Linked DNA regions of Mus musculus: all the other regions are reported to be linked to region 4. The links are microRNA targets in miRTarBase. Many come from high-throughput screens and were not tested one by one. Region 4 holds a microRNA gene; each other region holds the end of a gene's coding sequence.
Evidence for each region. The annotated mature microRNA mmu-miR-149-5p reads UCUGGCUCCGUGUCUUCACUCCC and lies in region 4 at 5,504-5,526, opposite strand. An mRNA with a match to its seed (bases 2 to 7 or 8) in the 3' UTR can be bound and repressed. Matches are read on the target gene's strand: a 7mer-m8 pairs with bases 2 to 8, a 7mer-A1 pairs with bases 2 to 7 and ends in A, and an 8mer does both.

Region 1 (8,146 bases), not on the chromosome of region 4:
ATGGCAATTAAAACAAAGAAACAAATAAAAACAAGTTTTAAACCATCGAGAGCATCGTAATTTGTTGTTATTTATTTGTTACTGTTATGGTAGCTCTGGGAAGTCTAGGGCCCCTCTCTATGCTAGACCAACACTGTACTGGTCGGCACCCCCGCTTTTATCTTTCCATTTTGAGTTCCTGTTCACCTATTCATCATAGAGGTGTTGACACAGATAGCAGTAGAGCACCCAAGAGAAACTGAGACCACTCTCCACTGAGTACACTAACCCTGGAAGGCTGGCTTCCAGCCTGCCCTCATGCCTACGTGACTCTTGTGGGTTTCCCTGTGTTATCACCCTTCCAAGAACATGAGAAGTAGTTCCCTTTGCAGCAGGGAATTGGGACTTGTGTCGGGCTGAAAGGCATCTCTCTGTTTTCCTTTCCAAATTTGCCTTTATCTGGTATGCCATGCTGTGTGACCCGCCTCCGTGCTGATTGTCTAACTTGGACCCCACAGGTCAATCGTTCTGTTGAGCACAAGAGGAGAAATTAAGCAGCTGAATATCTCGGATTCATTAGCAGTTCTGGGACTGGCCAAGCCAGCACATCTGTACAGCAAAGGTTTGTATTGGCAGTATCCTGGGATGACCCTATGATGCTGCAGTGAATGTATCTTTTTGGTGGTGTTTGTGTGCTAGACTATTCTCATGAGCTCTGCCCGCAGTGAGCATTGTAAAAATTGTTTCTTGATAAAGGACTGTGTCAAAGAAAGTGTGTTGGGATATGGCTTGTCATTTGGGAGGCAGGAGTTCATTGTTGATGTAAGGAAGTGCAGGTGTGCAGGTGTTTTTTTTTTTTTAAATCTATATCTGTATTTATAATTATATATATATATACACACATATAAATATAAAAAATCCTGTCTTTGTTTTGTTCAACTCTGACTCATTTCCCTCGTTATCTTGTAGGAAATAGCTATACACTTTAACTTTTCTCTCCCTCTCTTTTTATAGGTAGTGTCGTATTTTTGGGATTCAGCGGAAACTTCGCACCGTCATGGACGAAGCTGTTCACCAGTCCCGATGAGCAGGGCCTCGGAGTGCTTGAGCAGTTTCTCCCGTTGCAGATGGAGGAATATGGGTGCTCCCGGACCGGCAGTGTCCACAGAAGAGACCTTGACCTGTTACAGCAGGCTTTGAAAGTGCTTTAGAGACTTGGTTGTAATTTAAGTGCTGGGAAAGAAAAAAAAAATGTGAACTAACTTATTTAATTTATGGCATTTTAAGACAACACTGTTAACCCGATGGAACCATTTTCCTGTTTGATAGAAAAGGGAGAGAAGGAATCCAAGCAGTTACCTGAGTGTCAGCTTGCAGGCCTTGGCACTGTGCAGGTGGTAGAGCCCTTTTGTCTTCCTGAGGCTGCTGCGTTCAGAGAGCAGTTGGTCTCGTGGCCCTTGCTTTGACAAGCACATCGGGGGTGCTTTGCTTTTTGTATAGTGGGGTGCAGGGAGTCCAAGGGCTCCTTGAACTTGCTCCTTCGAGGACTGGCTGCTCTAGCATTTCAGATACTTGAAGTCCAATGCTCAGTCCTGCGCTAACTCCAGTCGCTGCCCTGTTCAGTGATGTCTGGGGCTCATTTCTGTACAGCCCACGAGGGTTTTATGTGATGCTAGATATGGTTTTAAGTGGCAACTCAGGCCCAGCACATGTCCTTTTTGCCTGGTCATGTGCTCTTTTTATTCACTTGTATACTGATTACTTTTGAGGGTTCACCTTTCAAAGAGGGAACCTTATTGGGACAAAAGGGCTTTTGAAATTTTTTAGATCTGTAACCATTGAGGAAAAAAAAAGAAAGAAAGAAACAACAACATAAACCTATTACTTGCATCCAGGTGGAACTTTTTCTGCAGCTTTAATCCTTAACCTGTCTTGACCTTTAAAACGCAGAGCGGAACTGAATTAATTTTCTTTAAAAGCAGCAAGCCACTTCCTAAACTGTAAAACTCTTGTCATTTGAACTTGCAAAAGAAAGCCAGGTGTGGTGGTGCACGCCTTTGATCACAGCACTCCAGGAGCAGGTGGATCTCTGAGAGTTTGAGGCTAGCCTGGTCTACGTAGTGATCCAGGACAGCCAGGGCTACGTAGAGAAACCCTGTCTCAAAAGAAACAAAACAAAACAAAACAAAACAAAATCACTCTGTCAACAAAAGCTAACTTGCAAAAGGGAAACCTGTCCTTGGTTTTGGTCTTGTACCTGTGCTTTGTTGTCTTGTTGTGTGGATTTTTTTTTTTTCCAAGCGGCTCTGCTCATTGTCCTACCAGAAAATCCCAGAGAGTTTCCCGCTTGCTCCTCCATAAATATTGTATTCAAGGAAAGAAAGGAGATGCCTTCTTAGGGTGGAATCATGGAGGCAATGGACATGATCTTCTTTGTAGCCTTTAAAAGAGGGAGTCTCTTAGTGAATGTAGCTTTCAAAGACAAGAAGAAAGGACTCTGGGTCTCCCAGTGCTGCTTCTACTGGCCCTTTCTTCAGCCAGTGGGGACACATGTGGCAAAGGATGCTGGCTCTGCAGCCAAGAGGGAAGATGGCATCAGAATGCTGCTGTGCTGCCCAAAGGCGGGTGGCTGAATAGCCAGGCTGACGGTAGCAATTGAGTGCAGAAAAGTTCATCTTCCTCCGTGGAGGGCCGAGGCTGATGCCTGTATGTTGTGTCCAGGAGACATTCTAGGACAGCTCTGTGACTTGTGTAACTTTACAGAACATGCTACCTCAAAGTGCTGTGACAAACCATTTGGACTGTAGTGCTCACAGGATGGGCACGTGTCTTAATCAAAGTTTGGTTACTTGTTTATCCGGGTTTTTTGGATGTGGGGTTTTTTGTTTGTATTTTTTTTTCTTTTTCTTTCATTCTTTTTTTTTTTCTTTTTTTTTTGTACAGTGAGATCTTACCTATTAAATATATTTAGTGGGTCATGGTTCCTGAAGGTGAGTGAATTGATTGTGTGTGCAGATGTGTGTGTGTTATGACTTAAATATATTTGTTTTGTGCTGTTTTAGAGTTCCTTTTTTATATATATTTGGAGAAAGTATGCAAGTTTCAAGGCACTCAGTGTTTCTGATTTTTATGTACTAATAATTAGGGCCTAAGTTAAATAAATAAAAACGTGTGTGCATGTATTTTATGTATGTGTATTTGTGAATCTCTGTAATTGCTGAGGTCTCAGATTCTAGCTTTAAAGAAGTTAGTGGCAGTAGGAAAGGTTGACCATTCACACAGCAGATTTGTAAGGCAGAGTTAAAAGGGAATAAGTTTTACGATGAGGGGGAGACCAGGTTTCATTGCATGTTGGATTCACCTGCAGGGTCTAAAAAACCCAGCGGTCTGAATCCCACTGGCTTCTCTCAGATTAGAGTTCATTGATTTTGGGTGTAGCTGGGACATGTGATATCTTTTTTTTTCATTTTAATTTTTTATTAATTTAAGTTTAAGCTCCTTGGGTGATTCCAACATGCAGCCATGTTGGAAACACTGTACGTACAACCCCACTGTTCAGCTTTCATCTGAAAAAATTGTTGTGATTAAAAAACACCTGCACGTGTCTGTATGTTCTTTTGAGACCTCCCTACATTGATCACAGGATTCTCAGTCTTAAAGTATCTTACTGCCGGTACTTTTTAAAAGGCTTTTTCAAATGTACCTTTCTATCTGCGGTCTTTGCTTTTTAGGCACACAGGCAAATGCCCAGGTTTCACTGCATTCTCTTTGTGCTGAGAAAATGTGTTCCAAGGTAATTTACAACTGGGCGGGGGCGCATTTTCTCTCAGGTGAGGGACTTGGCTGGGTTCCCGAAATATGATGGGTTTCCACTCATCAACTGACTAAAGAGAACTATAGTGGCTTTCAGATGTCAACTGATGCCTGTTTTCTGTCTTTGACGGGAGGTCCTGCCTTTGAGTGGCTACCCGAGCTGGTGCTTCGTAGATTATTTTGAAAGGTGACGACTTCAAGTCTGAGAAGATGAAAGACAGGTGCACGGCCTCAAGGCAGATAATTCTCAAGCTTCCTCCAAGCTGATGTTTACAGTCTGGGGTGGAGACAGGCTCAGGGTTCCTCTGTTTGCCAAGTGTACCACATCCTTCTTATATCTTAATACCATTAAGCAGGTTGCTCTTTGTGGAGGAGGGGAGGCCATGGAAGAGATGGACAAGGGCTGAGTGCTCCTGGTAACGGGGTGAAGTAGTGTTTGGAGTAGCCCAGTAGAGAGGAATTCCAGACGAAGGCATGCACTTAACCCAGTGCTCGTTCCCTTCTGGCAGATAAGTGCTCAGGTCCCACTGAGAATACTTATTAGCTCCATTCTGCAGAATTGGACTTCATCCTCTAAATTCTTTCTATTTATTGTTTTGAGGTGAGCTCTTACTTTGTAGCCCAGGCTAGCTTCTTGCTCAAGATCGTCCCTCTTCAGCCTCCCAAGTACTGTGATAGCAGTAGTTTCAACACCCAGCTTCTTTCTCGGGCCTTGTTCAAACCAGACCTCTGGAATTCTTGATGAGGGTTCAAGTACTTACTTAGGCATATTTAATGACATGGAAGAATTCTAGGGTGAAGACCTCTAATAGGGTAACAGATATGACAATAATATTATTATTATTAGGGTAGTAATATTAACAATAATAATATTATTGTTAATGCGATAACAGATTGTAATGGTACTGTCAGTTTGACTTGGTGATGAGCCACATTAGGTTGCTACACATAAGATTGGGCACTCTGGGCTGAAGTTAGTCTGTGTCCTCTCTCCTTATTAGCCCCTCCCCCCTCTCTCTTTCCCTCCCTCCCTCCCTCCCCCCCTCTCTCTTTCCCTCCCTCTTTCCCTCCCCCCTCTCTCCCTCCCTCCCTCCCTCCCTCCCTTCTTCCCTCCCTCTCTCCCTCTCCCCTTTCACTCTCCCTCTTCCCTCTATCACTCTCCCTCTTCCCTCTATCACTCTCCCGCCTGTTTCCCTCTTTCCATCTTTTCCTTTCTCCCTCCATCCTGGGGGTGAATACAGGCCTTACACATGCTGCACAGATGCTCTACATGTGAGTCTAGACCCCAAGTATTTCAACCTTCAAATGTCCTGGAGAGGCCAGCCCAGGTTCCTTCTTCACAAGTGATGTTACTCCCAGTTTGCTGGGTGGGTGATTCAAGCCATTCAGAAACGAAGGTTCGAAGGTTCTTTCACTTCCCTTTAGCTTCAGTGTGAAGAAGCTAGCTGATTAAAGGCGCTCCCCTGGGGCCTGCTGGGCGCTTTATTGTTAGATGGTATAAGGAGACTCACCTTCTGAATGAGCAACTGTGCCCCAGAAGAGCTCCAAAAACATTAGCTACATGATGAAAATGCTTTAGCTGAAAATACGATGAAGGTTGGGGAGTATGCATGGATGATTTAAAAAAAAATTCCTTAATAGACAAAATGATTGTCTTATATAAAGGTCACCCCCAGAAAAGGTCAGGAGCTATGATCATGGTTTTATGATCAAAGTTAACAAACTGAACTGATGAATTTTTGCTTTCTTATTTTCTAGTTTTTTCCAATGTATGTTGTGAAGTTTTGATATACCCATGTATCCATTAAGTAAGACTATACCTACTCCTTGAAGATTCATCATTCATTATGGTGAATACATTCAAACTTCTCATTACTTTGAGGTCTTTAATACATTATTGTCGGTGGAGAAGTGAGTTCTGTTGTGTGCCTTGGTAATGTTGAAGGACCCTTTGGCCCACCAGGACCCCAGAATCCCACTCTTAAATCCTTTCCTGAAAAAGTTGGCTGAGCCTTGATCTTGGGGGAAAGGCCCACTGGTCGAGTTCCTTGTCTTGTTTGTGGAATGTGTCAACATTTGGAGAACTTAAAAAATATATAATGAAAAAAACAAAAAAAAAAAAACTGTAGCAGTCACGTGAGCCACTTGACCGCACAGGCTCTGCCCTTCGCCCACCCCACGGGCATCTCCAGTAGGTGGAACTGGCCTTGAAATTGCAGCACAGGCTCTCCAGGTGCTGCTTAGGAAGGCTGCAGTGTGAAAGCCCCATAGGACCCAGTAATGCACTCATTTCTTCTCCACACTTCCTCCAGTAGGAACACACCCCGCTGCACTTGGAGTACGGTGAGTGCATTCATAGCTTACTGGCTCAATCTTTCACCATTGTCTCCCCCTCCATCCCCCACCCCCTACCCCAAATTTGCTTTGATAGATTACTGCTAGGCAGGTTTGATGGCCATCAGGGTCTCTGTGGCAATTACTGAGGCAAACTTTTGTATGAAGCCCAGGATCAGGTTTCCCCTTTCCCTTAATGATTTCCGCAATTCTCACTGTTAACATTATTCCTTTGGCTACGGTTATTTCCTACTTAGAACTCTTAGGCATCCTTTGGATTTTGCAAAAAAAAAAAAATTTGTAGTTTTTGTAAGAACTAGAAATAAAAATACACATTAGCTATGATTAGACCACACGATGACAGCATAGGTGTCTTGGCTTTGGAAATAGAATTATTTTGTGTGTATCACTGCTCCTTTAATACAGATGTGTTGTCTTAAGGTGGACGAATGGTTAGAGACAAGCATTTGCTTTGTAAGCCCATGCCTTTCCCTACATGACCTTCATGGAAGTTGGCAGGAGGTGATTGCACGGACTTGGGGATAAGGACATTGGTCTTGCCGAGGAAAGAGTGAGATCTTGGGTGGGCATGCTCAGTTTCTCTTGGATCGGCTCATCAGCACCTACTTACTGGGGGAAGAACCCAGGCTTCTGAAGGAGGGCAAGTCTCAGAAGGTAAGGAGAATCAGCAACTCCCAACATGGGCAAGAGAAGAAAGTGCTGATGGAAAAGAAGGCCCATGAAAAGAGAAATCTTGTTGATTTAATATATATGTATATATACATATAAATATATATATGTAGACATACTTTTTAAATAAAATATTTTATATAAAAATACATATATACACACAGACACATATATACAATACTGTGTGTGTGTATATATATAAACATACACATACATCTATGTGTATGTATATGTATACTTCTGAAGACCGCTTAAGGAAGACAGCTCTTAGCAGTTATAGGCTGGAGGCAGTGAAATGCTTGGTAGTTATTTGGTATAGGTATGATGGGTATTTTGATGAGCACCTTAGGTCTGATGCCACTAAAGGCATTTAGTGGTGTTACTGGGAGCAGCTTCCTACCTCCAATCCTCAGCTTTCTCTCTTGTCAAGCAGTACTATAAACACGTGTAATTGAATGAAAGTGGCCTTGACTCACAAACAGCTGGCAATCTGAAACACCTGGTGGGTTTCACATCCTTATACATTCTTTAGTATTTTCTAACAGTTAATGGACTAGGAACTTGATTTTTAAACACATTTCCAAGATGGCGGAGGGCACACTGAGACTGCCCTGTGCTGCTTAGTCTCTGCCTTTGTTTTACTTGTTTCTGGACAGCAGCACATGGAGTTAGGCAGAACCTGCTTAGGGAACCGGTTTGAACACCCACAGGCAGGAGGATTGCATTTATGCTGGTGGTTGTGAGGGTACCACAGCTCAGTAACCCAGCTGTTACAAACCAGAATTCTGAAATGTGGAAATGACTACAGTGAAAGTATGCGGCCACACCCATTTTACGGTTGGGCTGTATAGCATTCTGCTCTTGCTATTCATGTGAGGGGAAACTTGAGTCCAGCTAACAGTTTGTCACTTCCAACCCCTTTTACCATGAAGCAGGTTCTCAACTTGTGGGTCCCAACCCCTTTAGGGTCAAACAGTCCTTTCACAGGGTTTGCCTAAGACCATTGGAAATACAGATATTTACACTACGATTCATAACAGAAGCAAAATTATAGTTATGAAGTAGCAAGGGAAATAGTTTTATGGTTGGTTATTACTACAACATGAGGGACTGTATTAAAGGGTTGCAGTATTAGGAAAGTTGAGAGCCACACAACAATTCTTGGCTAATAATCTCACTCCCTACTCAAGAGGAAAAACCGCTAGCACACAGCAGATTGGTTTTGAGATAGGTTTTATGTAATAAGCTGAAGTTGAATTGCAGACTTGGGAAGGCATACTGTTGGCAACAAACCTTTCCATGTTTCTACCCATTTGTGTGATCACCCATT
Region 2 (8,146 bases), not on the chromosome of region 4:
CATGCATCACCCAGGAAAAATATTGGTAGAACTATTCTCTTCCTCCTCTTCTTCCCCCACCTCTTCCTCCTCCTCCTCTTCCTCCTCCTCCTCCTTCTTCCTCTTCTTCTTTTCTTCTTCTTCTTCTTCTTCTTCTTCTTCTTCTTCTTCTTCTTCTTCTTCTTCTTCTTCTCTCTCTCTCTCTCTCTCTCTCTCTCTCTCTCTCTCTCTCTCTCTCTCTCTCTCTCTCTCTCCCCCCACCTCTCTTTCTTTTTGAAACAGGGTTTCTTTATATAGCCCTGGCTGTCCTGGAACTCATGCTGTAGACCAGGTTGGCCTCGAACTCATAGAAATCCACTTGCCTTTGCCTCTTCAATGCTGGGATTAAAGGCATGTGCCACCATCGTCTGAGTTATGATTTTCTTAAGTATACGCACGTGTGTGTATGCATGTATAGGCTAGATAACAACTCAGTGCATTCTCCAGTTGCTGTACACCCTGCTCTTTTAAGACGGGGCCTCAGGCTGGAGAGATGGCTCAGTTGTTAAGATCACTGACTGCTCTTCCAGAGGTCCTGAGTTCAAATCCCAGCAACTACATAGTAGCTCACAACCATCTGTAATGAGATCTGATGCCCTCTTCTGGTGTATCTGAAGACAGCTACAGTGGACTTATGTATAAAAAGACAGGGCCTCATTGGACCAGGCTCACAGGTTCAGCTGGGCTGACTGGCCCGTGGACTCCAGTGATCTGCCCATCTCATCCTCCTCAGTACTGAGACCACAGGCATACACAGTTTTTGCTTTTTGTTTTTTCATGTGGGTTCCATGGATGGAACTCAAACCCTCCCTACATGGCAAGCATTTTACTGAATGCAGCATCTTCCTGGCCCCTGATGGAATAATCTCTTTCTTAGCAATGTAGATATGAAATAACTATATTTAAAATGTTAAGCTTGTATCCTAAAAATAAACAAAACCAGGTGCTGATTTAGGTTGTGTGCGCTTTTAACTTTATATTTTATCATATTAAATACCTAAACTTACTTGGAATCAAATTGATTTTCCAAGTACAGCAATAAACAGTGTAAATTTCTGGTATTTGTTCTTCCAAAGTGAGTTTTTAAAGTAAGCTACTGTTGTACTAGTTATGTCCAAAACGTGGTAAAACAGACATGACATAAAAACACTGGGAATGAGTCATGATATACTAGAATAAAAATGTCTTCAGGAAACACATTACTTTGTACAATGTATATGCCAATTAAAATAACAGCCAGGTATTGGTGGCACACACCTTTAATCTCAGCACTCAGGAGGCAGATAGATATCTCTGAGTTTAAGGTCAGTCTGGTCTACAGAGTGAGTTCAAGGCCAGCCTGATCTACAGAGTGAGTTCCAGGACAGCCTGGGCTACACAGAGAAACCCTGTCTTGAAAAACCAACCAACCAACCAAACAAACAAAACAAACAAAAAAGACAAAAAAGTAAAATAGTTGGATCCTGGAGTAAAGATCTGGCTTAGGAGTTAAGAACACTTATTGCTCTTACAGAGAGCCTGGTTTGATTCACATGGTGGCTCCCAGCCATCTCTAACTCCAGTTGCTGGTCATGCAAAGCCCTTTTGACTCCCACAAACACCAGGCAGGCACATGGTACACATACCTACTCACAGGGCAAAGCACTCCTACACATAAAAAGCAAAACTAGCCGGGCGTGGTGGTGCATGTCTTTAATCCCAGCACTCAGGAGGCAGAGGCAGGCAAATTTCTGAGTTCGAGGCCAGCCTGGTCTACAAAGTGAGTTCCAGGACAGCCAGGGCTACACAGAGAAACCCTGTCTCAAAAAACAACAACAAAAAAAAAAAAAAAAAAAAAGCAAAACTATTTTCTCCTACTCTGATACAACTGGTGACTTCCATACCCAGGTACTGAGGGTAGATGTCTCTCAAGCAAGCTGGGGAGAAAGCTTTCACCAAAACTTGACTACATTGGGCATCAGATTTCTAGTCTCTAGAAGTGAAAAGGGGGGTGGTGGAGACAGACAGACAGGCATTCATGTAGTTCAGGCCAGCATCAAACTTGCTATCAAGCCTAGGGTGACTTAACTCCTCCTGCCTCCACTTCCCATGCCTGGCTAGAAAAGTCACTTATTCTGTGGCAGTTGCAGTCTTTAAAAAAAAAAAAAAAAGGTATATAGAAAATCTGTTTTTTTTTTTGTCCTGGAAAAACATATTTTCAGCAATAGGAACTTTAAAAGCTCTTATGTAAATTTATTTTAAAGGCATTACACGCATAAGCACTTGGCTTTGTTTTATAATCAGGGTCTCTGGGGGGGGGTATAGAGAACTTTCGGGATAGCATTTGAAATGTAAATGAAAAAAATATCTAATAAAAAATAATCAGGGTCTCAGGGTCTTTTCCAGTACGGCAATCTGATACCACAGTGATAACCTAAGTTTGTCCCATAGCACCTCAAAGAAAAGCATTATGCTTAGTACAAGCAGAACCCAGGTATGGAGGCGCATCCCTCTACAGTCTTCCCATTGACGATGAAGATACAAATGTGAAGTCAAAGTCTATCTGACTGCAGTGAGACCTTGCCTCACACAAGATAAAATAGGAAAGAAAAAGCAAGAATCCCCATTACCCAGTGCTTGAAGATACAGTGTTTACTACTCAGAACACTTTGACACTCTTGGCTTTATGAGGCCTGAATGGACAGACTACAAAATGATGGGCAACTTTAATGATGATCAGTTAATGCCATTATAATCAACCTACTGCTAAAGCAGTTATCTCAAACCAGTTGTGTGATTAGGATGGCCACATGCTTGCTTGAGATTGCCCTGGTGTGAATGTTACGAGTTCTGCTTTCATGCACACACCTAATAAGCTAGAGTTAGCCCATATGTAAACTCCACAAGAGTCACAATGAAGAACTTTCTTAGTGTTCAGCTTAGGACAGAAAATACCACTTACTATGAGAATCTTGAAAACACTATCAAATATATATGATATTCAATTGTTAAAAGTACATTTTTTCTGGGGCTGGGATATAGCTCTGTGGTAGAGTGGCTTGTGTACCATGTAGCATACACAAGTTCAAGTTCAGGGTTTGACTCCAGTAGTTAAAAAAAAAAAATTAGAATTTCTCCCTCCACAGAGAACCAAACTTTACCTTCATTGCTTGAGATTAAAGGTGAGTGTTAGGGCCAAGGCCCAGCAAATCTATAAAGTTTTGTTCAATACATACACAATTTCAGGGTTCACAGTGTGACCAAATATCCTACATTTTAAGATGTTTTAAAATATTTCATTTCTGTATATGTATCTGGGTGAGTGCATGCCATATGTGCACAGGTTCTCAAGAAGGCTAAAAGAGGGTATTTGAGCCCCTGGAGAGGAAATGAGCTGCTGACATAGATGCTGGGAACTCAGGTCCTTGGGAAGAACAGTAGGTGCTCTTAACCACTGAGACATCTCTCTAGTCCTTTTAAATGATGTCTGTAATTCTAGCTCCAGGGGATCTGACACCCTCACTCAGATATGCATGCAGGCAACACACCAATGTTCATAAAAATGATTTTTAAAAGTCCAGAATTTTTATTTATTCACACTGCACTTCAAAAACGTAGATATAAATAATAATCTACATTTAAAGTTTACCATAGCACTCGGGAGGCAGAGGCAGGTGGATTTCTGAGTTCGAGGCCAGCCTGGTCTACAAAGTGAGTTCCAGGACAGCCAGGGCTATACAGAGAAACCCTGTCTCAAAAACAAAAACAAAAACAAAAAAAACCCCAAAACAAACAAAGTTTACCATAATCTAACTATTCTAGAGGACATATTTCAATGGCTACACATAGCTTTGAAATTTTCCCTTTAAAATGACAAATAACAAAAATTAAACAAATAGACTGAGGTCACTAAAACTAATTTCATCAGCTCAAATTTGTAAACCATCCACAAAATTAACTATAGGAATGGACTGTACTCCTTTAAGCCTAGAGGCAGACAGGTAGATCTCTTTTGTTTGACAAGAGATCTACATAGTGAATTCCAGGCCAGCCAGGGCTAAATAGAAAGATGTATACACACACAGAGTCTTAGTTTGGGTTTTATTGCTATAAAGAGACAACATGACCATAGCAACTTTTTTAAAGGAAAAAAAAAATTAATTTGGGGCTGCCAAAGGTCCATTATCATCATGGTGGAAAGCATGGCGGCATGCAGACAGACATGGTACTAGAGGAGCTGAGAGTTCTATAGTTTGATCCACAGACAGCAGGAGATTGTATGTCACACTGGGCATGACTTGAGCATTGGAGACCTAAAAATCTGCCCCCACAGTGACACATTACCTCCTACAAAGGCCACACTATTCCAACGTTACACCTAATAGTGCCACTCCCCAAAGGCCAAGCATTCAAATATATGAGTCTGTGTAGGCCAAATCTATTCAAAACACCACCACCACCACACACACACACACACACACACACACACACACACACACACACACACACACACACACACACGTTCAAACCCCAGGGAATCTGTTCTGGAACACGTAATCATAACACCCATCAGTCACACAGCATAAGAACCTGGAGTTCTCCATGCTAATGAAGTAGCTACACAGGCCCTGAGTGTTCAGCCAATGAGCTTCCCCTTCCTGGGCATTTCTTCCTGCAAAAGGTATTTAATCCCTGGTTCACCTTGAGTAAGGTGTATGCATTCACATCCACCATCAAAGAAAGGACCATCTATTTCTTCATCAAGGATTCCAGGGTGGGGAGGGGCTTCAGACCTAAATCTCTCAGAGAAGGCCTTCTCTTCCAGCCTCTCCCATACATACTCTTGGCCCTGACTTGGAGCCAAACCTGGCTCTGCCTCTCTCTAGGGCTTAGCTGTCCCCAGGCACAAAGACTTGGAGGGGAGGCACAGACCTTCAACCCCTATTACAGACTGTGTGCTGCCTCCAACAATGGCTTGCAGGAGGTGCTCTGGGCAACCCAGCAGCAAGGAGGACACACAGACCAGGAGTCAGCAAACCAAACCAACTCAACTAACTAAACAGTGATATGTTAATTGCTTTCAAAGCTACATTTGTTTATTTTTAATTTTATTTCGTATTTGTTTGAGTGTTCTGCCTACAAGTATGTATGTATACTATATACATGCTTAGTGTCCGTGGAGGGCTGAGGAGGGGGGGGGTCAGATCCCCTGGAACTGGAGTTACTTGGTGCTGATAACTGATCCAGGTCTTCTAAAAGAGCAACAAGTGCTCTTAACTCCTGCGTCCTCTCTCTAGGCCCCCAAAGCTACATTTAAGAATATGGAGGGACAGAGACATGACTCAGAAATTACTTAAGATCCCATATCTGGCAGCCAACCACATATAACTCCAGTTCTAGGGGACATGATGCCCTCTTCCATGCTTTGAAGGCCTCCACACAGTTGGCAAACACACAGATACATATACACACACTTCAAACATATTATAGTGTTTTATTTCTATTATTTTTTAGGCAATTGACAAAGAAATTTTCCACTCTGGGTGGTAAATCCAGATAGGTAACATAAGGTCAGCTTTCCACATTACTCAAAATAAAAACACATTAAAATATAATTATAGAACAGTGCTTCAGAAAATCTTTTCAGGAGCTAGGGAAACAGCTCCATGGGTAAAGTGCCTGACATGCAGGCATGAGGACGGCATATAATAAAAGCTGGTGCAGTGCAGCACATGTGTGCATCTTGGTGCTGCTGGGGTAGATAGGTGGCCCTGAAGCAGTGAGCTCCACGTTCAGGGAGAGATTTTTTTCTTAAAATTTAAGGAGGGCCTAGAAAGATGTTCAGTGGGTAAAAGCCCTTGCTCTGCAAGCCTGACGACCTGAGTTCAATTCTCAGAGCCCACAGTGTGCTACACACCTGCATCCCAGGGTTCCTAGTGAGACAGGAGGCCAAAACAGAAGTAGTTAAAGTGTGCAGACCTGGAGAATGAAGAGACAAAACAGAAGACCCTGCCTCAGAGACAGGGTGGAGGAGCTGGAGAGATGGATGGCTCAGCAGTTGGGAACATTTTTGGTTCTTGCAGGACTAGGTTCTGGTTCTCAGCACCTTCATGGTGGTTCAGTTACTTCTAACTCCAGTTCCACGAGATCCACCACCCTCCGCTTGCTTTTGTAGGCACCCGCACACACACAGTGCACACACACACACACAGTGCACACACACACACAGTGCACACACACACACACACACACTACACTCTGACTAGCACATCATCAGTTAACTGGATACACTGGCATCAGCATTTGGTCAGCATTCTTCCTCTGGTTCTCGTGACCGTTTCCGGAAATTCAAAGAACTCTCTGTCTGTGATGAGGCAGCAGTGACAACAGCGTCTCTAAATCCCTGAGGCTGCAAGGTAGAGAAATACACACATAAAATATATATATACACACACACATAAAAGACAATTTAAAAAGATTAATTTTCCAAATAGTCTTTAAATAAGCTATGTTATTCTTGGGAGAGAATTTATTAATCATTGAATAAAGAGGATAAACTTTGCAGGTGGTCTAACCCAGAGTTTTATTAGAGCATTTTATATATGCTCTTCTATACACACATTAAAAAAAAATAACACTGCATAAGGATGCTTTCTAAGACCTGACCTGTACGTAGATGAGTGGTGATGTCCAAGTTAACAACAAAAAAGCTCTCTAGAAAGAATCCTAAAAAGCTGTATGGCGCCTTGGCTAGGAGAAGTGGAAAGTAGTGTGTATAGCCACGTAGGCACTTCACAAATCACTTTATAGTAAAATTATTCTGCCTGGCATGTGGCATGCATCTGTAATAGCATCACTTAGGCAGCGGAGGCAGGAGGGTCAAAAGTTCAATGCCAGTCTGGACTAAATAACAAGACCTCGTCTCAAACAAGACAAAATAATTGAGAACAGGTTAATGTAAGTTAAGTGAGGTTAGTGTAAAAACTAAGTGGAAAATTCACTTTCAGAACTGCTTTCCATTTCTAGTTTTCTCTTTATAAAATAAGAGACTGCTGAGTGCGGTGGCGCTTGCCTTTGATCCCAGCGCTTGGGAGGCAGAGGCAGGTGGATACGGGAGTGAGGCCAGCCTGGTCTACAGAGTGAGGTCCTGGACAATCAGGGCTACCCAGAGAAACCCTGGCTCAAAAGAAACAAAAACAAACAAAGAAGCTCCAGGCCATGCTCAGCTCTGTAGTGAGTGTGAGGCCAGCTAGGGCCTAGAGCCCAGTGACAGAAACGCTCAGGAAGTTAACGATGTTTCAAAGGGCTGCTACTATCTACAGGCCAAAATTAGTAATATTCCTGTAGAAACCTGGTTTTTAGTTGTTGGTATTTTTGAGACAGGATCTCATGCTGACTAGGCTGGCCTTGTACAACTGATCCGCCGGCTTCAGTCTCCCAAGTCCAGGCATGTGCCATCATGCCCCGTTATACATTTTTCCTTTCTGAAAACTTTTAACATAAAAGAGAGATTTTACATATGCCATGGAACATACATAAATATATAAATATTTCATTTGTTCTCAAAGATAAACTTCAGTTCAATTGTGACTGCAGTACTGTGTAAATACTATTTTGATGGTGTTCTCACATCTAGACTATCCTCAAATATGCTTGCTGCTTATAAAATTAACAGAAACAATTTGTAGATGACCTCTTCAGATAGTTACTGCCCAACAACTGCAAAATCTCACTGTGATGAAATGATACTGACTGTGATCTGAAATGGTATCGTAGACTCCTTCTGGCTTGGTGACTTGTACAATGTTGCAAATCTGTTTGGAGAAAAAGTACACATAAACACATTACCTTAATTAATTAGGTCACATGACTGAGTTTATAATTTAAATGTACAGAGTCCTATACTATGCTTGTATCATGTATTCTCAAGTACACAAAGTGGAAAGAAATATATTTAAAAAGACAAAATGAAAACCTTCCTCACAGGGCAGCACTGTGGTGGGTGCTTTCAGTCTCAGACAAGCAGAGGCACAACTTTTTTTGAACTCAGGAGCAAGGCCAGCCTGAGCCTTAAAAATAATTAAAATTTTTTAAAAAGTTAAAAAGCTGGGTATGGTGGCACAAGCCTTTAATCTCAGGCAGAAACAGT
Region 3 (8,146 bases), not on the chromosome of region 4:
CATATGTATATACATATACATGTATGTATGTAAAACAATAATGAAATATGAGACCATAAATTTGAAAAAGAACAAGGAGAAGTATATGAAAAGGTTTGGATGGAGGAAAGGAAAGACAGAAATGATGTAATTGTATTATCTCAAATTTAGAAATAATAAAAATAAAAATAATAAATCCTATGAGGCTAGAGAGATGGCTTATTGGTTAAGAGCATTTGCACTTTCGGGGAACCCAAGTTTGTTTTCTATCATCCATGTCAGGCAGACCACAACTCTCTGTAACTCCAGCTGCAGGCAGTCAGATCCTCTAGCATCTACAAACACCTGTACCTATGTGCATACTCCATACATGTATACATATACATAACTAAAAATAATTTGCAAACAAAATAAAAAGAAAAAAAGAGAAAAAAATTTGCAAATAAGTATTTTTAAATGAAAAATCCAATATCTCACCCTGATAACTATCAGCAATGTTCTATCATTTGCTAAATATATTAAATTCTTGCTGCTTCCCTTCAAGATACCTTCAGAATTATCAAGGTAATTCTGGCACAATAGCAATAACAGTTGCTATTGTTATGTGCCCACTTTTATTTCAGCCTGCAGTCATTTTGATTTTTATGCCTAATGCAGCTAAATGTGTCTCAGTTTTTCTTTAAGAGCATCCTTATATTTCTGGGACAATATTATTTGGCTCCTTGTGCTTTCTCTGTCCTAACCCTGGAACCTGTCAATTCTCTAGTAAACACAAAACCTGATCCTCTACAGCTTGGAGTCCCTCTTTTGTATCTTCAAGTGTGAAGTCTCCCCATTAATGCACTGATTCCTACATAGTGTGATTCCCTTTCATTCTAACACAGATGTAAGTTCCTTACACTTTCTGTGACTCTGCCTATTATAGCCAAAATGGGCCCCACATAGTGGTTCTCAACGTTCCTAATGCTGCAACCTTTAATACAGTTCGTCATGCCGTAGTAAGCCCCCACCCATTAATTTTCATATTGCTACTCCACAACTGTAATTTTGCTACTGTTATGCATCATAATGTAAATATCTGACACGCAGGATATCTGATATGTGACCCCAAAAGGGTTGCAACCCACAGGTCAAGAACCACTAGACAGTGGTCATAGAACTCAGCCCATTGTGACATTGTAACCCATCCTAAACTCTTCTTTCAGTCACACAAAATATTTAGAGCAAATATCCTTACCCTTTTCACATCTGTGTCCCTTTTCCATTAATATACTTAACTATGGAGCCAATCTTTAAATCCATAAGAGCATGGATGGGCCTGCCAGACTGACAAATCAAATTCCATCCCAGCCCTGATCCTAGGATACTTGGCACCAGTGAAATCAAAAAAGCTGCTGTGCCTAGGTGGTCTCTTCTTTCCCACTGGCCACTACCTATCATACTTGCCCACTTAATTTTGTTCCTCTATTGGTGTAGTAGGTAGGGCCCATGTGTTGTCCAGTCCATGCTGATTTAGAGGCAACTGCTAGTCTTCAGTTAGTTCCAATTGTGGAACTCAGAAGAAAGGCTATGGTGTGATCATTCTATTTTGTGAGACAAAGTCAGTCACACATGTCTCACCTCCAGCTCTGCCCTTCTACTTAGTGGAACAATGCCAAGAGCTCATCAATAGTTCACCTGTCAAACAGCTTCAAAAGCAAATATTTGGGGAGAAGGGTTGTGGGAGGGGGTGACCAGGAATGGGACAGTGAGCGAGATATAAAGTGAATAAGTAAAAATTAATAAAATTAAATTTAACAAAAGCAAATATTCAACTCTTTTTATATCATCTTCGTTGTCACAAAAAGTTCTGGAAAACTGCAGGGCTTAGATAACATTTTAAATGCCAGTTTTATTGCAACCTAATCCATATACAACAAAAGTCATTCATCTGAAGTGTTCCTTGCACATTCACAAATGTATGAGTATCGCCATAGCCAATTTCAGAATATTCTCATTTTCCCTCAAAGAACTTTGTATTCATTAACTATCACTCTCTCCTCACCCCTCTCACCTCCAGGGAATCACCAGTTAACTTTTTGTTTTATGAGATAGGATCTTGCTATGAAGCCTAAGCCAGCCTAGAACTCATTAACATCTTGCTTCAACTTTGAGTGCATGCTCTACCACAGACTGGCCCAACTGGCTTTCTTCCAAATTCTGTTTTTCATATCTGAAACCAAGACACTCATTAAAAACCTGAACAAAATGAAAAAAATAAGCTAGTCAGATATATTTATAATCCTAGCACTGGAGAGGCTGAGGATGGCTGTAAATTCAAGGCCATCGTGGATTACATAATAAGTTCCAAACTAGACAGGGCTGTCAAAGTCAGGGGAAGGTAAATAAAGTGAGAAGCTGATAACCAGGGATTGTAGCTCAGTGATGGTATGAATGCTTACATGTGAAAGACCCTGGGTTCTATCCCCAGCACCACAAAAAAAGGCTATTGGTACTATAGTCCTAAAATAAGATTTCTGTACTATAATTTCTAGTACATTAATAACTTCTATAAGTCACCAATTATGGTGACAAGTGACGTCCATGAAGATATTGGCAGGGGAATCCTGATATCGTCTCAGACAAGCTCAGCCATCAGTAAATGCAGTTTCCCTGTGTTGAGTATACGACTAAATTGATACGGCTTCTGTCTCCCTCTAGTGGTAGAAAAGAAAAAAACACTAGAAAAGGTCAGTGGTAGTAATGTGAGTTAAAACAGGGTAGTATGATTTAGGATGAAGAGATCAGATGAAAGAACTTTTGTTTACACTTATATGGATGACAAAAAGTAGTCAACAGTACAAATTAGGGAACAGAACTTTCTCAGCAAAGGAGACAACAGGAGCAACAGCCTTAAGAAACAGAAGTGCTGGGCTGGTGAGATGGCTCAGTGGGTAAGAGCACCCTACTGCTCTTCCAAAGGTCTGGAGTTCAAATCCCAGCAACCACATGGTGGCTCACAACCATCCGTAACAAGATCTGACTCCTTTTCTGGAGTGTCTGAAGACAACTACAGTGTACTTACATATAATAAATAAATAAATAAATCTAAAAAAATTTAAAAAAAAAAAGTGCTAAGTGGTTTGAGGAAAGGAATAGAAGGCCAGTGTAGAATTGGCTGAGCTTTTAGAGAAGTTGACATGACATTAGATCAACACAAGGCTGAAGATGGAGTTTAGGTCTCAAGTAACAGAAAATCAGTGGAGAGCACTAAGCAAAGTGGAAACAGATTTACCAGATCACACTGGTTGCCAGTAGCAATGGATAAAAAAGAGCCTGCAGTTTCAATATGAAACTGCACCTAACAGTCAAGGCAAGATGAAGGGACCCAGGACATCTCACACTGAGCCTGGCTAGATCAGAATTGAACATCAAACAACTTCTCTCATAACTAACTTCCACTGTTACCTAGTCCTCCCAATGGTAGATAGATTGTCCAGGTACCCAGGCAGGAAACCAAAAGTCCAGCAATCCCTCTCTTCCATGTCCATAATGTTGGCTGCAGCTCCATACCTAAGACCCTCATGCTGCTCTGACCTTCTCTGCAAATCATCTCTTTCCATCACTGTCACTAGATACTGAACAAAATGCTTCCATGTTTCCAAATACCCACCTGTATACAACACTGGTGTGCTTATAAAAAGGAAACACAAGATGGCCATGTGACAAAAGTGGCAGAGGCAGAGATGCAGGTACAACTAGAGAAAACTAAGAATTTCTGGGACCTGCCACACACTGGAGAGGGGCACTGGAATGGGTTATCCCTTATGAGGAACCCACTTCTCAGATGCCTGCCATCCTTAACAGGGAGAGGAAATCTGTTGCCTAAGCTCCCTAACGTGTGGTACTTTGTTGCTGCAACCACAGGAAATTCAAGCCCCAAATTAGTTGACTTGGCCCCTTTCACCACTCTGTTGTGTCAATAATGAGCTTTCCTCAGCCATAGGCAGAAGAAACCTCAGAGCTGTGTGTAACAGCTACTTCCTATGTAATACAGGGGAATTAAAGAGATAGAAATAGCAAAGAAAACCTTTGTTACTGGCAATCCTACCCCTACATCCAACAAGGGAGGACAGAGTGCATGCTTGAAAGTCTTACTTCTTTATTTCATATTTTATACATAATTTAATCCTCGGGCCTTTTTATACCATCGTACAGAGAATGTTCATGTAATAAAATGTTCAAGATGCTAGCCATGCAGGCCTGTGTCATCGGATATGTTGTATCTTATTTCATCACAGCCTTGGGTGGTAACAGATGATGGTGCCATAACACTGGAGAGGCACTCCAATGAAGCAGTCACTGTGAGGACCAAACTGTTGTCAGGTAAAGAGGGCTGGGGATGCTTCCAAAGTGCTTGTTCATCTCTCCAAACTCCCACCTTGAAAGGGGAAACACTAAAAGGTAGGCCTTACCTTGCCTGAGGGTGTCACACACAGGGCTGCAATTGTTCCTTTTTAGATATCATTCCTACCTACAATCTGCCTTATCGTTTATTACTTCAGTAGGTGAAGCACTCTGTACTGTCTTACTGGCTCTCTGGTTTTCTCTTGGGCATGGGCCAACAGGAAGAGAGCATACATAAGAAGCACTATCTATTCCAGAACAGGTCTTCTGGAAAGGGCATGCTTCTAGCTGTATGGATCTAAAAGTTGTCTGCCAGAGGCCACATAAAATTTGTGCAAAAGCAAGTAGACTAATTCCTGAGGGGAATGGAACGACCACTTTTTCCAGTTCTAGCTTAAGTAATTCTGCAAAAGAAAAGAGCATGTCTCATGTCAAAAAGATGGTAGAATCTCAAATCTTTGATGTACGGTTAATCATACACCATACTGCAGGGTAAGTCGGTGGCAAGGGCTCCCACCTTCTAGAAGGGTACTAGGTCCCAACCATTACCTTGTGCCACCCTCAGATTTGTCTTGACCAGTGCATGAAGCCCATGTTTTCAAGCTTCCTACTGTGTAACCTGGGTCACACCTGCTTTCTGGGACCCTTTCAGGATAAAGTACTGGTCAGAAATGCACCTATGCATCTCTGTTTATCCAAGAAGCGTGAAGCTCATGCAGCCACTGCAGGCAGCCCAACAGCTCTCTCCTACTATAGCCAACCTGCCTTTCCCAATCATTCCCACTGACCCTACTAACAGCATCAAGCACTGACAAGGGTCTGCCTTCAAACTCTGAAGACTACTGGTCATCACCCTAGAGACCAGGTCTCTCTAGCAGAATTACAAGGCTTTAAAGGCCCTGCCTTTGGGCTGCATTTACTCAGGTTCTGATGATATCCATACTCCGGGTTATATAAGCCCAAACCCCCATAATGTGAGAACAAGACTTTATTTGGGGAAAGGATCTTGGTAGGTGGAATGAGTTAAGGGTCTTGAACTGGAGATCCTCCTTAATCTAATCAAATAGACCCCACATGCACAACATGGTTTCCTTATGAGACAGAAGAGAGGAAGAAACCACAAGGCCCTAGAACCAGAAACTGGAGTGATGGGTCTATGAGCCAAGCAACACCAAGGACTACCACAAACCACTGAAAGTTAAGAGAATGCCTGGAATTGATTCTCACAGCCTCCAGAAAAAACTTAATATGTGGCTTCCAGACAGGAAAGAGTGATTTGTTGTTGTTGTTGTTGTTGTTGTTGTTCTTGCTCTTCCAAGTTTAGGAAAAATTTTAAAGCAGCTATAGAAAAGTGATATATACCACCACAAAACTGGACTCAACCTAAACCAATAGTATTCCTAAAGGAAAATTATAGATTAGGTATTTAAATGAAAACACATAAGCAAAGAACTTGTTTGTTCCTTTAACATTTTCCTAAAGATCTTTCTGATAGATACCTGGGAATTAGGAAATGGAAAACTTACTCTGCATCCCCTGAAAATTCCGAGAAAGCCCCCAGCTCAGGATTACTTTTTAAATCCTTTTTTATAATCTGAATTCTACTTAGCCTTCTCACTCTTAATGGGAAAGAAACCATGTAAATAAAAGCCCCCGGGATGGATTCACAGATACCACTCAGAACCATGAAAGCTTACAGGAGGGCAGGAAGGATTTAGACCTAAGGAATGAGCAAGGCATATTTATTGCTTTCTCAACTACAACTTCCTTTCCTTTACTAGAACTGCAGGTCTAATACCAATGACGGTAAGGTCCCACAAAATGTCTAGAACCTTGCAAAACAAGTGAAGTGTTCCCTTTTCTGTGATCAGTCAGTCACTGCTAAATGGTTCCCTAGGACATTTTGGCTGGTGAAGAACATGTGATCACAAACTCCAGGAGTGTGATGAACTATGGCCACCACCATTCACAGAAGGTAACAATGTGCTTGGCAAAAACAAGAGCACACTGGGGCTAGAAAAAGGAAAGCATACATGTGAAATACCTTTCTGTTGACAAAGCAGTCATAATTCCAAAGTCAAAAAACTAGGAGTAAAGAATGGGTAAGTAGGAGTATAAAACAGCTTCTAGGCCCCAAAACACTAACAATCAATGTGGAACAAGGGGTGCACTTCTGTAATAGTCAAAACCAACCTGACTGATAATCAAAAAGCTCTACAAAGCCCAAGAACAAATGGCAATGTCCCAACAGAAAAATGGGTAGGAATTATGAAAATCCAAGTTACATCAGAGGAATTAAAAAGGGCCCACATGCCCCAGAAAAAGACACTTAAGCAAATTCTTTAGTAAAGAATGGTATATCTTAGAGATGGCAAAAATCCAAAGGTCTGCCCACCTCCTCCAGGGCAAGGATCCAATGTCACATCTAAGCATCTGTCCTAAAGGTACACACAGATCAGTGTACAAGTACTTTCACTACACCATTAATTACAGTAACAAAAGGACAGAATACTTTCCACATGTCTACCAGAGGTAACACATGTTATAGACCCAAGTGCCACATGCCCTGGGAGGAGAGCCTGCAGTTCACCGGCAAGAAAGGTACCAGTTGGAGAGAAGAAAAGCTGTACCCAGACCTGCTTGGAGAAGGGATGCTCCCTAAGAGCCCCTGGCCTCCATTCTAGACTCCCTAGGACTATGGGAGAAGAGGGAAGAAGCCACCAGAGGCAAACTGGATCAGGCACACAGAAAAAAAAAAGCCCTGAATGGGGCTGTCTACCCTAAATGGGGGACCAAAGGGCTAAAGCAAGCCCTTAAGTGTGGACTATGCAGGTAAAACAGGAAAGCACAAGTCACACAGATCAGGACATAGTACTGCAAGTGGCCTTGCATCTGCTGCTCCTACTCTATGCACTCCATGACATGTATCTGTAGAGTGTCCATATCAGGAGCCTGATACTGGCACTTCGGACAACAGAAGTCAGGAGGTTCTTCAGGAGGGCTCCTCCGCTGGTTGGACAAGGCCAAATGAAAGGAGTGGTGAGCTGAGAAAAAAGAACACAGGAGTGTGATGAACTATGTAAGTACTTCATGCACAGCCTAGGTAGGCCTCAAATGGAAAGGGGGGCTAACAAGGTGCTGAGACTTACTGATACCACCATATTTGACTACATTGCTGGGAGCCACCTCCACCAGCACATTTTTCCTTTGACCTCAGAGTGATGTGGGCTACTGACAGGAGAGGTCAGCAAGAACTCCCCAAAGCAGAGCAGCAGAGAAACCAACACATGTTTCCCCTCCCTAAGCATCTCCTCCCATCATCTACCACTTGTTCACTTACCTGGAGCAGGGAGTAAAGGAGGCTGGGGAGTCTCTACATGCCGCTTCCTCATATCCTCAATCCTTTTGAAAACAGAAAGCATTCAATCAATGCTTATAGGGTTTTTTATGAATAAATACATTCATTTAGATATAATTCATGTACTATATAAGTCCCCAATTTAAACCGTATTGTTAGAGGGTTTTACTCTATTCAGCATATCCAATCATCAGCCTAATTTTAGAATATTTTATCATCCCCCAAAGGAAACTTTGTACTTATTAGGAATTATTCCTTGGGTTCCCCTATATTAGTTTCCTCAGAACCTTGTTACAAACTACCACATACTTAGTAACTTAGAATAACAAAAACGTGCATGATACAGATGACTAAGTGCCCCAAATAAACGTGTCAGAGGACTGGGCAGAATTACCATGCCCACCCCCTAGCTGCCAGTGGTTT
Region 4 (8,146 bases):
CTGGAGAACAAAGGCAGCCTGAGCCCCCACTGCAGTCCTTGTGCACCCGGTCACCAGCTAGCCCCGAGGGAACCCCAATGTGAAGGGCTTGGGATACAAGCCAGAACATCTAGGCTCTGCTCTAGGCCAGGTCATCTCAGGTACACATTTCGGTGTCACAGTCCCAGGACTACTGCTGCCACGAGGCTTTGCTGCAGATAACCGAGGCCCATGGGTTGGGAGGTGACTTACCGCACCTAGCTAGAGATGGAGGCAGTGCAGTTTAAAGCTGATACTCTCTGCATACCCTTCCCCAGGTGGATCTGCATTGTGCTCTCCCATTCACTGAGCTACCGTGCTTCCCTGTGAGGCCTGTTTGCTCAAGGGCCAACTATATCATTTTCTCGTTTCCTGTTTCCTGAGCCCAGCAGACCAATGGCCCTCTTCACCCTGCCCACAGCCGCATCTGGATAAGGACCCAGGACTGGGCAGCAGACAGACAGGCTTTAAGTGGACTCACATCTAAGGACCCACTGTAAGCAACTGATAACAGGCTGCAGCTATGAGCCTAAGAGCCAGGAGGCTCAGAGAACAGGGCTGAGTGTGGGGGATACCAAGCACCCAGGGCATAGCATGAGGAACTCCCAGGGGTCTACTCAGAGCCCCAGGCAGTGTTTGTACCTGGGCCACCTTCCGGACTACATCACTGGCCACACCCAGGCCCTGCACAAAGGAACGTGCAGCCACAAAGGCACGGGTGGCCCGCAGGCGCAGTTCTCGAGGGGCATCTCCAAACGGCCGCAGTGCCTCCGCCTGCTTGCCCAGGCAGTCCAGGTAGTCATCAGGCAGCAGCTGGGGGTGCAGCTGCTTGAAGAGGCGCTCCAGCAGCCGTGCCCAGAACTCGGCCAGCGTCTCCTCAAGGTGCAGGTTGGCCCCACGGTAGTAGAGGCGCAGCTCAGCATATAGGTCCCGGAAGGCACGAGTGTTCTGCGTATACAGGTCCCCAAAGGCCCCAGGGAAAGCCTCCTGCAGTGTGCGCTCCGAGTCATTCAGCAGGCGCTGGAAGTGGTCTGTGCACAGAGGAGAGGCAATGACCCCCTGAGGGGGAGGCTCTGCTTCTCTGCCAATCTACTCATGGGCTTGACAGAATATCCCCCGCTTCTCAGAGCCTGCTTATGCAGTCAATAAAAGCTGGACACCATATTGCAGAGGCTTCCTCAGGCTCTCCTCACCAGAGGTGCAGAAGTCAGGAGTGGCCTCTCTAGGGTCATAGGCGCATGTGTACTTAGGTCTCTAGCTCCAGAGGCCATTTCTGAGTTGGACCTTAGGAACCAACAGATGCTGAGATTCACTGATTCTGGGAGGGACTGTAGTGGGAGTGGTGGGAAAGAAACCAGAGTGAGCCTTGCCTAGCTGCCAACTGCTCTGTCTTCCACCCCAATGCTCTTGGTTGCTCCAAGCAGCCCTCCTCCTCCTCCTGTTCTCCAGCAAACCCGCCCTGCTGCAAACCAGCACCCCAGATAGATACTTTTCGGTGAGGGTGTAAACATGTGAATATGTGCCGCAGATTTTGAGGTTGGGGAAATGTCACTGTACTACACATCTCTGGGATGGAGCCCTGATTGTGGCATCCTCAAGGTCTGAGGCTGCTCAGCTCCTCTCTCCCACACCGAGTAATAAAGGAAGGCTTAGCAACAAGTGTCAGAGTCTGCAAATGGTTAGGGCTGTCTGATCTGCTGTGATTTCTAAACCCTTGAAGCTATGGCCCAGCTGTGGCTAGACAAGCTGTGCGTGCTTCCCCTCTTTGCCTTTACAGTTTGTATTTTCCCAGTTCCACCCCACTGCAGGGGCTACATCTTTGCCTGGGCCCTGCCTGTATCTCTTCCGGAGTTAGTGAACCTCTGTTTAAGGAGGGGACTTTCTAGGGGAATCTTATGACCCTAGGGCCCCACAGAGTCCCTGTGAAACATTCCATCACTGTTGGAGCTGCTGCCCATATACAGTGGCCACATGATTGTAAAAGTCGCTAACCTGGTCTCTTGAAGTGCACAGGAGTCTTTCTTGCCCTGGCCAAGAGGTGGTTACCTCAGGACAAGCCCTGCACTTTCAGCCTTCAGTCTGAGCTTCCTGACGGGGGGGACGGTAGCTGGGATAGTGGGCCTACCACGGGGACCCCAGAAGATGCAGGTGATACAGGTCAGCCCTCTGTAGGTCTGGAGGGGAACTCTGCTTGGGACACAGAAGCACCTCAAGCCCAGCTGTTCCCCTCTGAGGAGCAGGCCCATTCTCCCTAGGGCCCTGACAATAACTTGGGTTCATTGTTCTATTCAAGCCTGGCAGGAAGAGGGAGACCCTCCTATGGAGTTAGCCATCCAAATCCTAGCCTCTGGCTCCTCCCCCACACTCACAAGTGCCCACTTACCATCGATGCCATGCAGCTGGGTGGCCAGTGTGGCCTGCAGGGCGCGGCTGCTGTCATGGAGTGCGCTCTCCAGCTCCATTCGGCTGTGGTTGGCCAAATTCTCCTCCATCTCACTAGTACAGCAAGTGTAGCCCTGGGGGCAGATCCGCAGGTGCTCACCTGTGGGACGGCAAAGGGTGTCGTGAGGGGGAACAGTGGTCCAGGATGCTCTGCCCAAGATGGGGCTCAGCTCAGGTTAGGAGCCCTTTGTGAAGGCAGAGATGGGGAGAGGGGGCACATTGTAGGGCAAAGCTGGGCTCCAGTGTCTCTGACCTCCCAGGGCCTCTGATTAAGATTCAGGGATGGGGTACCACAGGTTATCATAGTTATCAGAGGGCTGAGCCTCAGACTACGAGTACTGTGTGACATAGTCCAGCATCTCAGGAATGCAATGAGAGTCCTAGCAGGGCTCCCTGAGAGCCAGCTCAGCCCTCACATAGAGGGAGAGGCTGCCCGACTTAGGTTGGGGACCTGATAGAGGCTTTCGAGCCTGGCAGGTGCCTCTGCCCGGGGGAGGAAGAAGAAATCCAGCCTCTTCTTAGCTCAGGCCAGTCTCAGAGGCCACCTGACTGACAGCAGAGTGGAGTGCCCCATGAATGTTCTGCAGGGCCTGTGTCAGCATTCTGCAAGGGCCCTGGGTACCATTCTGGGGTGAAGAAAAGCATGCTCTGCGCAGGCACTGGGTCCCAAACAGAGGCCACTCAACCCTGGCCTGAGGTTCCCACTAGCTGGACACATTCCCAGTCCCCATAGTGTTCTGGCTGAAACTCCCTCCCCCGCCATCTATCCTGGGCTGGTGAGCTGACCTGTCAGCCCTTGGTGGCACTGCAGCAGTACCATTCAGGACAATATCAACTGCCACTTGCTGACAGAGGGTTGCTTTGGGCCTACAATTGGCCTCAAAGTGTCTACCATGGAGCCCTTACAGCACACACCTGAGAGTCTCCTGGCATCAGAAGAAAACCTCAATGGGAGAGGAAACCTTCTGCTAAGGCTATAGTGACACCAATTTACAGGGAATCTGAGGCTTGGAGACTGGCTTTTGTCCCAGTTGGGGGCTGAGCTACTCAGGACTGGGCCTATGCCTGACCCCACTCTGTTCTACTCCCTTCTCATAGGGTCACACTGCTGTCTCTGAGCCTAAAGACAGAGCCCTACAGTCCCTACAAGGGACTGGGTGGATCAAAAAGGCAGAGGCAGTGGCCCAGCCTTAGGTGAAAGGTCTGAGAAGAGGGAGCGGTCAGCAGGGATTCTAGAAGCTTCCCTCGTGCAGGAATGCTGATTTTGATGTTATGGGGAGCCAGTGAAATGCAGAGTTTCCAGAGCCCAGAGTAGGTGCCAGGGCTGGTACCTGGGCTTTATCCTTGCTGACGGGTTGATGGGAAAGGTGGGATGTGAAGAACTCCAGGATGTGATACTGCAGGCTGCCATCAGAGGTGGGGGACTGAGCCAGAGGGGAGTGGACATCTTGTCAAGAAGCATGTGGGGGCAGGAACCTGTGACCTCAGGATGAGGCCATTATGTGTTAGGCCCCATTTCTATGAACCCCCCTCCCCTGAAGCCAACTGGGAGTGGAGATCTCTGACTAAGGAGAGATTCTGAGGTTGCATTCACCCTTAAGAGCTTGTTACATGATCACATCCTTGTCTTTAGCACTTAGTAAGCACAAGCATTTATGTGTGCTGGATGGTGTGTGTGTGTGTGTGTGTGTGTGTGTGTGTGTGTGTGTGCATATTGCAGAGTGGAACTGTGTACAGCCTCTGTGATTTTGACCTGACATGGAAGGTATATATCCCCAGATGCCACCCCTCCATCCCTAGGTAGGGCAACCTTCAGATCTGCTCTTCCAGGTCTCAGGTTGAGGGCCTGGCCTAGCCCTTCTCCTGCTTACTAAGGCATGGGAGCTGTGCTTCATCCCAGAACCCTGGGGACTTTTGGCCTCACAGGCTGAGTCCCACCTGGTTTCAGGGTCCCCAAAGGTCCACAGAGCAGGGCAGTGGCTGACAGCTGGTAGAAGAACAGAAGGAATTGTATTCTGATTCAAGGGTGCTTGGGGGAGTCAAGAGAAAAGGGAGTCAGAGATGGGAGGTGCACACGGAATGCCCCTCCCACCACTCCCCTACCTGGTACCCTCTGCTCCTACCACACTGCTTCCTCCTGCCCAGGGCACCTGCCTTTCACAGGGACTGCAGGTCCTGGGAAGCAACATGTTATTAAGCACCCAACCTCAAGAAAGGGCTGGGTTGGTGCCCAGACAGCTGGGAGCTGCAAGCCTAGGTCCTGCCACTTGATCTGCATCCATTGATTGATTCCCTTCCTTCTAGAGTAGGGAGGGCTAAGCAGAGATTATCCACCCGCAAGCAGGCTACAGGCACAACAAGGTACAGGGCCCAGCAGGGCCTTCTATTTGCTCTGCTCCGGGCCATGGTCTGCTGGGCTGAGGTGATATGCCACATCTCTCTCTTTGAGTGGTGGGGTTTAAGGGTTTTTCTGTTAGAGGAGGAATCATGGGGGGCACTGTAGAGGATGACCCATCTCTGACTTCAGCAGTGAGTGGGGAAACAGCTATGGGGATGGAGGCTGCAGGTATCAGGATGGGGCCATCCTGGGCTCAGCTGGGACAGAGGCACTCTGTGTGTGTAGGCCAAAGGTTTTAGGTGGAAATATTGAGGACCAGGCTGCACAACAGAGCACTGGCAAGAGAGAGGTGGGCACAGCCTTACTGGCCCCTCCCATGGTTTCTGCTCCTCTGACATCCTTCTCCATCTTAGTGGTCCCAATTGCCACCCCTCACCACATAGACAGAAGAACGAAGCTGAAACAGGAAGAAGTTAATTAAGGACACACACTCAGAAACAGAAACTCGCCCCACTCCACGGCAGGTTCTGGATAAATGGGACCCATGAGACTTTTGGCCAGCTACTATGAGCATACCCCATCCAATGGCCTCCCCTGCAGCCCCCTGGCTCTGCCTGGCCACCTCACCCAGCCAGCCCGGTGACCTGCGCTGTTCCAGTTGCCCCAGCACCGCCCCCGTCCCTCCCTCCCTCCTCGGACAAACACGGGAGTGAAGACACGGAGCCAGAGCCTGGGCACTGGCCTGAGGGCCCCGGGCAGGCTGGGTCAGGCTGCCCAGAAGCCCATGCATTGGCAGACCTGCTTGCTGAGGGTCAAAGATAGAGGAGCTGAGACCCAGCCCAACTGGAACCATAGGTGCTCAACATCAGAACAGCTAAGGCAGGCTCTGCAAAGCTCTCTACACTTCCAGGAAAGCACTGGAGTACATACCCATCGTAGGAACGTCTCTCCGTTCTACCCTACCAGCAGCTTCCTCCTTGCCAGCCCTGAAGGTGGGTGGGAGTGGAGCGGCAGTATTGTTCCCCACTGACCCCGCCCATCTCTCTCAGAGTTGGTTTCATTTTTCCAGATCTTTCCCTCCTGGGTTTTTGGGGGGCACTACCCTCCCCTGGCACTCACAGGTTTTATTTGGGGAAGGGGGTTGTTTGTTAATGGCAGGTTTTCCCCACTTTAGTCCCTTTTCTAAGCCTTGTCCCCAACCCCAAAGCCTCTCAAATTCCAAGACCCCTGCTTCTTGTGACACTTAGCATGGCACCCCATTGCAGCAAACCCATGGGCAGCAACTGCTCATTTACCTCCTCCCAAATCTGGCTGCTTGCACCCCACCCCCGGCCCCCCACTATTCTCCAGAGCAGACAGCAGCTTGTGGCTTCCTACCTTTCAGGGTCACACCCTCCTGCCACCTGCTGACAGCTCCAGCTCCTGCTCCTCCCTCACAGAGGCAGCATCCCTCTTGGTCATCATCCACAGTCACCCCAGGACTTTAGCAGAGTCCAGCATCCTGATGCTACCCACAGACATCTCTGACCTGACCTCCCCTGACACTTCAGGGACCCAATGCCTTGAAACCCTCCACCTTCTGAAGATAATGCAGAGTCATGCTACCCCGCCTCTGGTCCATTCTTCTAGAAGCTTCCTGTGCTCACGGGGGAGATGCAGAGTGGAAAGCCCACTTCCCTCACGGCCCCTAAAACACTCCAGCTGGCACGGCTTGGGGGAGTGTAGGGGCATTCGGAGTATAATCTCTCAGCACCGCAGATAAGGGAGAGGCACAGGCTACACTCCCCTCCCCAGCTGCTGGCTCCTAGAGCAGGCCTTTCTGTTGACTGGTAGGTTAGAAGTAAACCAGCCCTCTGTGCTCCTGGGTTTTCCAGCCCCAGAGGCTGAGAGTCTCCAGGACGTGACAGCCTGGAGCAAATGGCCCAGCTTTCTGGGGGACTACTCACTGCCCAGGCTCCAGGGGCATTTTCCCATTGCTTGCTCCTGTTCCCCAACAAACCTGTCTAGTCCCCGGGGGTCACACCCGAAGGAAGACATTTCAACTCCATCTCTGAAATTGGAAAAGCATCAAGCACAATCCCCTCCCCGCCCCCACCTCACTCCCAATACTTTTCCACCCTCCTGGATGCCTTCATGATTCCCGAGCCCCTGCCTCCGGTTCACCCAAATGGCAACATCACCAAGAAGAACCTCCATCACGAACAGGGACCCCCTAACTGGGGGGCATCGGCTGCTGGCACTTCTATGGACTCGATGGGAGGGGTCATCTCCGGGCAGGCAAGGGCTCCTGCCAGCTGCCTCTCCAGCATCAGGCCAGGCCCTGGGCGAACAAAGCCTGGGCGACACCTGCAGCTCCGACCGACCGCTGCCTCCTCTGCAACGGGGATGGTTCTGTACAGCTGGAGCCGGTAAGATAAGCCGGAGCTGCAGATGCAGGCGCCTGCTCTGGCGCCGCAGTGAGGAGGGGGCGCTGGTGCAGTGGGCGCGGCTGGTGCGGAGAGCTGAGTGCTGCGGCAGGCAGAGGGGGGCATTTGGAGGGGGGCTGCGGAAAGCGGGAGATGGAGGGAGAGGAGAGAGGGCGATGTGATTGGCGGGGAAGGGGCTTGCCGCAGTGGGCGCGGCGGCAGAAAAAGGAGGGAGAAAAGCGAGCGCCATGGCTGTGGCGGCGGGGGCGGGGTGAAAGGGGGGATGGGTTCAGTAGAGGAAGGGGGACTTACTGCGGAAAGGGGGCTGCGGCAGCCTGAGGGGTGCAGGGGGAGGGATGGGGTAGAGAGGAATATCTAGGATGGTGCAGCACAACTTTAGGGAGATGGGGATGGGATGGAGGTGGGAGCTGAGAGACATGAGTGGACATCAGGGCTGATGACCAAGCTCTTGATGGGAAGGGGATGAGACAGAGATAGGCTGTAGTGGGGGTACAGCTGCGAGAGAATGGAACTGAAGATGAGAGGTGAATGCATGGAGGAGGGGGGATGCAGACAGGAATGGTGATAGAGATGGTGCCTAGCAGACGTAGCCTGGTAGCTTAGCGGACACCCTCCTGGCCTTAGAACCCCCTTCTCCATGGCCGCTCCAATAGTGTCCCCAGCTGTGGATGCACTCCGGATAGCAAGGGCGATTCCAGCGCCAGTGAAGTGGTCTGGCAATTGCAGAGCAGCAGAACTCAGCAGGAAAGGCCAAGATGAGGCTAGGGGTCTCGGCGTGGTGTGGTGGATCCCACAACCTAGGGCAGCAGGGCAGTGGCAGTCTCACTGATGCACAAGGCTGAAGGCAGCTTCCTGGGACGCACCTCCTCCCGCAACCTTCACTGGCACATTCAGCACCGCCCCCCCCCACCCCCCGTGTCCC

Region 1: the mRNA of Cemip2 is a reported target of mmu-miR-149-5p. The part of its 3' UTR that is shown has no 7-base or 8-base seed match.
Region 2: miRTarBase lists Rad51c as a target of mmu-miR-149-5p. Seed matches in the 3' UTR shown: 7mer-m8 at 4,864-4,870.
Region 3: miRTarBase lists Ikbkg as a target of mmu-miR-149-5p. Seed matches in the 3' UTR shown: 7mer-m8 at 4,550-4,556.

What each region holds. Positions count from the first base shown.
Region 1 is chr19:21,855,162-21,863,307 of GRCm38, forward strand. Cemip2 (cell migration inducing hyaluronidase 2) reads left to right here. Exons shown (of 24, transcript NM_001033759.2): 23 at 498-601; 24 at 994-3,199. The coding sequence ends at 1,190. Among named protein-coding and RNA genes, the nearest start is that of Cemip2, 81 kb to the left of the region's middle.
Region 2 is chr11:87,373,082-87,381,227 of GRCm38, forward strand. It overlaps Rad51c (RAD51 paralog C), which reads right to left. Exons shown (of 9, transcript NM_053269.4): 8 at 7,751-7,811; 9 at 3,564-6,406. The coding sequence ends at 6,305. Among named protein-coding and RNA genes, the nearest start is that of Ppm1e, 18 kb to the left of the region's middle.
Region 3 is chrX:74,447,480-74,455,625 of GRCm38, reverse strand. Ikbkg (inhibitor of kappaB kinase gamma) reads right to left here. Exons shown (of 10, transcript NM_010547.2): 9 at 7,706-7,767; 10 at 1,848-7,409. The coding sequence ends at 7,267. Among named protein-coding and RNA genes, the nearest start is that of Ikbkg, 22 kb to the right of the region's middle.
Region 4 is chr1:92,847,761-92,855,906 of GRCm38, reverse strand. Mir149 (microRNA 149) reads right to left here and starts at 5,529; the gene lies at 5,464-5,529. Gpc1 (glypican 1) reads right to left here. Exons shown (of 9, transcript NM_016696.5): 2 at 2,402-2,560; 3 at 661-1,049. Gm29480 (predicted gene 29480) reads left to right here and starts at 7,110. Exons shown (of 4, transcript NR_166170.1): 1 at 7,110-7,206.